Oryza sativa Japonica Group: one gene and its partner. The protein of the gene in region 2 interacts with the protein of the main gene of each other region in a pairwise test. Links are inferred from orthologs where the notes say so. Each region holds a gene or a part of one and is shown on either strand. Other genes may lie near its edges.

Region 1 (3,929 bases), on a different chromosome or scaffold from region 2:
TGAAAAATATATCAAGAGGCCACACATGCAAATCTCTAACAAAGCAATTACTGCAGTTAATAAGGTTAACACAAATGAAAATTATACAAGGATGTAGTTAAAGGCTTAAGGTACAGTCCTCAAAACTTTCAGCACTTACATTGAGGTGGTGCATTAGGTTGAAAAGCACCTCCATAGTCAACTAACTCACGTTGTGCTTCTAGCTCTTTCTGAACCATCTTACCATAGCCACCTCTTCGTAAGATTCATTAAGGAAGTAGCCAACTCAACAGAAAAAACATAGCAGCATGTAAAGGCATACAAAATTTAAAGGAGCGCTATTAAGAAACAATCAGCAGATAGTTGAATTGCCATATTTAGGATGGATCTACAGGTAACATTTTCATCAGTATGAACTAACACGGATGGGTTTCTGAGTTACCAGCATAACCCCGCTCTAAATGTAATAAATGGTAATTCAATAGTACCAAAGGATATCAGGATCGTAGTCCGTGCGGTACTCATCCCTTACCTATGAAAAAAGAAACATGAACTATCATCAAAAATATGGTCAAATGTCATACATTTGTTATTCATGCAGAATAAGATCATGGTAATACTTGTCCACCACTCCGTCCACGACCCCATTGTCTGCCTTCTTCAAAGCCCCAATCAAAATCAACACGAATTGGGCGATCATCAAGCATTGTTCCACTAATATATTTGACCGCATCTTCAGCATCCTCCCTGGAGTAGTACCTGAAAGGAAGGAAGGTATTATAACGATATGTAGGCTAACAGCACATACACCGTTGGCTCAAACTAGATAAATGTCATTTTTACATCTTCCAAAATCCAATATAAACTAACAACATGCCCGATGCACAAGACAATAAAGCAATATATGCCTATCAGAGAATAATCCCTTCCATAACTGTAAGGTTAATAGAAGATTGATAATTCAAGGGGTGCCTTGCTGCCAGGAATCCAAGACACGCACACCAGTTAAAGGAACTGTGGTATATATTTTTTGAATGAACAAAAAAGACATACTCTAACCTTAACAGATCAGAGATCAAGATGATGCCACATTTCGAATTAGAGGTACAAAGTATGGCTAACTACCAGCATACAAAACCCCAAATTCGAACACAAAACACCAAAACAAGAGCCTGAATACATAAAAAAGATCCCAATAGACTCTCAAAAATCACCAGTTGGCCAAATATAACTTAAACCATGCCCCCTCGACAACCAAGACACATCTGGACCATATTGCGGACTAATCAACACTACATCAGATTAAAAGTAACCAAACAAAGGGTAAAAAACAAGAAACTTGGTGCACTATATTGGCCCATACTAGCGGACCAAAACCAGCTCTCCAAGGAGCCACATATGAGCTCACTACTACAAAATTACTCACTTAACCAATAGCAATATCTAACTGCTCAAGCCAAATATTCGCACTGAGATAGAATTCTTTGCTGCCCGTATTCTAGGGAAAATCACACATTCCTGCCAGTACCAACACAACATCAGACTCCTAAAACTCCCTTAGCTTCTCTGTCACAAGTCACAACCACCATTGATACTTCACTGTTAAATCAATGCATAACTAGAACTAGAAAAACATCTTAAAAGGCACCAAACTACATTTGGACACCCGCTTATACTAGAATAAAACAGAAGCAGCACCTTTAATTTGAACATAGCACCAAACTACATCTCTTGTATTAAAAAAAAAACGGATTGAGGAAGGAAAGGAGAGGGTACAGTATGAAGCAGAAGCCGCAGGGGGTCTTGGAGTTCTTGTCGAGTCCCATGATGATCTTCCTGATCTCGCCGGCGCGGGAGAAGAGCTCATAGGCCTGCTCCTCCGTGGTGTAGAAGGACATGTTCCCGACGTACACCGTCACCGACGCCTGCAGCGCCGCCTCGTACTCCTCCTGCGTCCCGGTGAACCGCCTGTCCCGGTACGCGGACAGCTTGGTCGGGTCCTGGAAAAGCGAATCGGGCGAGCCGCCTCAGAGGAAGGGCGAGAGGAGGGGGAATCGACGAGCTCGGGTAGCTAGGGTTTCGGAGGGGGGGGGGGGGAATCCGTACCTTGAAGAGGGACGCCATTGCTGCGGAGCGGCGGCCGCGCGAGGACGAGCTGTTTGCGATTAGGGTTTTGCCTCCGATTTCGAAGAAGGTCGGGTGGGGATTGGGGAGTTTTGGGGAAGGGTTTCACCCTCCTTGCGGGGGATTTGCCGAACCCTAGTTGCCCGGGAGGCCAGGAGCTGCAGCCTCCAGGTAGGGGAGGACGGGAGGAGCGATGTGAGTTGAAAGTCGGAGGAAGGAGATGAATAATTTTCTCCGATTTCACGAGATTTACTCTAAGTTTGGGGTAATTCCGTTAAATTTTAGGCCCTCTTGAATGGGAGGATTGGTACGAGAAATTTTAAGGATTGTAATCATAGAGAAAAATCTCCTATCATACAACCCTTTATTAAAGGAAAAATATTGAATTCTACTGTTTTGTTTGAAATTTCTATGGAATAAACAATCCTAAAGTGATTTTATATGAAAATAACGAATTGTCATAGCTCATGTTTTCAATTTTTTTCTTACAATTTTTCTTGCGATACAACAACACCTATTTTAAAATTTCCTTTTGTCTTTCTATAAGAATTAACAATCCTTGTTACTAAGTCGTGTGTTTTTTCAATTTATGTGTTTTAAAGGAGTCTTTAGAGCATGTACAATAGCGGGCTATTAGCCAGCTATAAACATATTTTCATGAGATAAAAGATGAGAGAGAAAAGCAGCGGGCTACAAATATGTAGCCAGCTGCAGTACGGACTTCAAGACGTAATGTGTGTATGACAGGTAGGACCATATGTTAATAATATAGTACGCAACTATTGTATGAATTGGCTATTAGATCGGCTATAAATAAATTGGAGCTAGTAGTAGGCTATACTATTGAACTTGCTCTTAGGCAATAAGAAACTTCAAAACCAAACTGAATTTTGGTTTTGAAATTCAACCACGCTTTTTATGCATGCTAACTCGAGACGAGAATCTGACTCCTAATTGCTTCAGAATTTTTGCCAGACCATAAGAAAGCAACGTACATGATATGGCCATTGTCACAACATGGGTTATGCTTTTTGGAAAAAAAAATCTATCTAAATATAGCTAAAACGAAATCACCATACACGTTAATTGAAGAGAAAAAAAATAAATAACTATACTGCCAGGTCGCGGTAGGTTTAAATTAGAGTGAAATGCGCCGTTATTACCATAACTTGCAAGGTGGGTGTAATTTAGTCACCCATATTGTAAAATGCTCAAACAAATCACTCATCTTGTTTTGGGGGTGTAAATCATATAAAACATGTGTCGTATGGAGTGTTCGCAATGAAGTTATATGCTATATTAATTTATTTTGCAAACATGGTCACACGATTCATAAATAATCCAACGTGCAATACTACCGGTAGTAAAATTCAATTAATGATGAATTTTGTTATTGATTGCCAAGCACAATATGACCGTGTTCATTGAAAGTAGGGGTAGTAGTATATACATAAAAATATAAGTGTTAATTTGTAATTTTAATGCTTATCCTGTCTACATTGGTAAAAAATGCATGATGCTAGGTTAATATGGACTCCAATTTGAAAACAAACAATCGATGTGAAAATGTATTTGATAACATTTGCACTATCGAAGCAAGATGAGTGACTTGTTTGAGCAATTTACAAGATGAGTGACTAAATTGCACCCACCTCGTAAGTTGTGATACCATCGGTGCATTTTACTCTATAAATTATAACAACGGAGATTATATCTCATATATAACTGTCCGATCAGTTTTGTCCATTCAACATTCCTTCAGCTCACAAACAGACATAGAAGCAGTCAGCCCATGAGCAAACGTGCGGGTCTGTTTGGCACAGCTC
Region 2 (2,943 bases):
CTTATGCAGATTCTTAGAAATGCTGTTAGTAAAACATACAATCGGATTTTTGACCTCCGGAAAGAAATTCAGACACTCAGGAAAGGTCTTCAAGCTGCTAAAGAGGCCAGTGAAAAGGCCGCCAGAGAGTTGGAGGAGGCTAAATCTATTATTGAGATTGTAGATGGCCAACCTGTGCCATCTGAAAATCCAGGAAGGCTAAGACGACTTCAAGCGCGTGCTGACAAAGCGAAAGAAGGAGAAGTAACCACTGAAGAATCTTTAGAAGCAAAGGAGGCCCTCCTTGCTCGAGGGCTTGAAGAAAGCAAGGTGCTCCGTTGCTTTTATTATCACCTTAATTTTGTACTGTTGCTTGGTACTTTGCCCCATAATAATAGAGTTGAGCATCCTTTCTTCATGTGGTTTTGCAGGAATTGCTTAGGTTACTATTCAAGAGCTTTGTTGAAGTGCTAACTGAACGTTTGCCACCTATTTCTGCTGATGGAGATGTTCCTAATTTACGTGCTGGAGACCCGAATGTAAATTCTTCAGCCCGTGACCCTGAAGCAACAACCATGGAAATAGACAATGAAAATGGAGGAGATAACGATAGGTCAGTTTATTATTTTGTTTGCAATGCTATTACTAGGATAACTACTTTTACAGGATGGACAACTATTTTTCATGGGCGGTTCATTCTGAAACGAGCTTTTTGTGGAAAGCTTGCATGAACTCTAGTAGACTAGGATTTTGTATTAGTCCTGCATATATCTATAAGAGTAATTTACTCTTAAAATGTAGAAAAAAAATTCAGTAGAGATTGCTAGATACCAGTCAAGACAAACAGGTTCTTGGATGGATTAATATCAGCTGACCATGATTTAATTGCAGTATTCACCTATGTCTTGAAGTGCCAGGAACCCATATTTACTGTTCAGTATAAATATGTTCGTGCCTGCATTAGGGGCTTGGCTGTCATTATTCGGCTGCTAACTTGTCTTCATGCTTTAGCAGTCAGCTGAATGGTCAAAACAAGAAAATCAGTCACAATGTTGGAGAGCTTGAGCAATGGTGTCTCTGCACATTGGGCTATCTCAAGTCGTTTTCTCGTCAATATGCTACTGAGGTGAGGACCTGTGGGGAGTTAGAGTTATCATGCTGTAATATGGATACCTGTTAGATCAAATTCCTTTTTATAAATGATTAGGCCAAACTGGATTTCTCCAGTGTAGTTAAACTATCTGTCTGACAATTTCTGTATACTCTCTTTGATTCCAAATGTAAATCATTTTATACTTGTGCACCGTAGTTAAGAAAAAAGCTCAAATGATTCTGTTACCCTTAATTTACACTGTTCTGGAAAAAAGAATAGTCATTTATTTGTGAGAGGTGTAGTAGTATTTATTTTTTTCAAGGGCAAACATGAAAGAAAAGAAACAAATGGCCTAGAAGTTCCAAACAGCTTACAGTCAGGAGAAAGTTGAGAAGCCTAATGTGTTAGCATTTGAAATATCCAGGCTACGGTGTACTAGAGCCAAATATCACAGGCTGCATGTTAAAATTGTTTTATTATTACAAAAGAACTCAAGGTCTTAGTAAATGACTGATTTTTCTGCAGTACGTTTTAAGTAGTTTTCTTTTCCATGGCCTCCATAGCTTCTACTAATTGGATATTACACATATTTTGCAGATCTGGTCCCATATTGCCATGTTGGATCAGGAGATTTTCGTTGGGAATATTCACCCTCTTATCCGGAAAGCTGCTTTCTCCGGTTTGTGCAGACCTACCAGTGAAGGGTCTCACCTTTGATTTTGACCCTTCCAGTGAGTTGGAGTTTACCTGTATTATACGCGACAAATTTTTCATCATGCTTCACTAACTGGACATGCCCAAAAGTACTCTGATGTGTACTCAGGAACTCCATCGATTCTCCTGTAATCCTGGCCCCGAGGAACACCCTTGGTGGAAAGCACTGTAACGACTTTAGGTGATTAAATTATCAGTTAGGTTTATTTGAATTGTAGTGGACTAATTTTCTTGGGTGAGTAATTGCTATGGTCTAGCTTTCTTAATTCCCTCTGCCTGTGTTAGGACAACGCCGTGTTTATTGATAAGCTGATCTGAAGCCGTCATTACTTTACATGTTGAGCTGTCGCATTGGTGGGTTTGTTACTTGGTCCAAATTCCAATGGAACTTGCTTGCAACACTGGTCCTTGCAACGTCTTCTGAGCTTCTACTGAGCATGCACTGTCAAAGCTGTTTTTTTACCTGCCATGGAGTCTGGAGCTGCCATAACGAAAATCTTGGTAATGCTATGCTTTGTACACTAGCGACTATTTTATCTCTGGGTTAGGGTAGATCGGAAAAAGGATCACGAGCTAGGTCCAAGAGGGGTCTCTTCACGCTTTCCTGTCTTTAATTTGTTGTTTCTATGCAATTGCAAAGAATCATTACGGAGTAAAACGGAAGATTCTGTGCCACAAACAAAACAGCATAGCTACTACAACTGGAATGGGACGTTTACCAACTGAAGCCGAACTATACTTCTTGTTTATCCCTAGGATGCAACGGAATATTTATTCACTAATCAGGTGGATGAAAATTAAGGCGCTTGATTTGAAAAATGACAGATGAATCATCCAGCGAAAAATGGACGGTTTTTTTAGGGTGCCGAAGTCACCAATTAGTGTGTTAAACAAGGGCAACAAAACGAATGTTTCGGATAATGATTATACTCATTTGATCGGGCACATAATTAGTGCGTAAAATATTTACGCGGCAAAGCGTACTCAGCCTAATCCTTACATATCATAATCCATAAACTATGTTTAGGAGCTGACAAAAATTGCAAGCAAATAATATCTACAGGTTTATGGCTTTGTTTTGCAGAGAAACACGTGGAAAAAATCTCTTTGGTTTCGGGTAAATGACAATGCGCAGGTGCTGGTTCTGTTTACTGTAA

The links.
Region 1: the proteins of nuclear cap-binding protein subunit 1 (region 2) and nuclear cap-binding protein subunit 2 interact in binary tests that used the Arabidopsis thaliana proteins (3 or more experiments, as listed by UniProt). The link is inferred for Oryza sativa Japonica Group from reciprocal best matches to the Arabidopsis thaliana genes ABH1 and CBP20.

What each region holds. Positions count from the first base shown.
Region 1 is NC_089036.1:24,583,924-24,587,852, forward strand, and holds the start of nuclear cap-binding protein subunit 2, read right to left. Parts: upstream 2,291-3,929; 5' UTR 2,104-2,290; coding exon 2,086-2,103; intron 1,980-2,085; coding exon 1,756-1,979; intron 739-1,755; coding exon 600-738; intron 512-599; coding exon 478-511; intron 239-477; coding exon 140-238; intron 1-139.
Region 2 is NC_089037.1:13,041,809-13,044,751, forward strand, and holds the end of nuclear cap-binding protein subunit 1, read left to right. Parts: intron 1-9; coding exon 10-309; intron 310-410; coding exon 411-592; intron 593-993; coding exon 994-1,105; intron 1,106-1,669; coding exon 1,670-1,789; 3' UTR 1,790-2,185; downstream 2,186-2,943. UniProt on the Arabidopsis thaliana protein: Component of the cap-binding complex (CBC), which binds cotranscriptionally to the 5'-cap of pre-mRNAs and is involved in various processes such as pre-mRNA splicing and RNA-mediated gene silencing (RNAi) by microRNAs (miRNAs).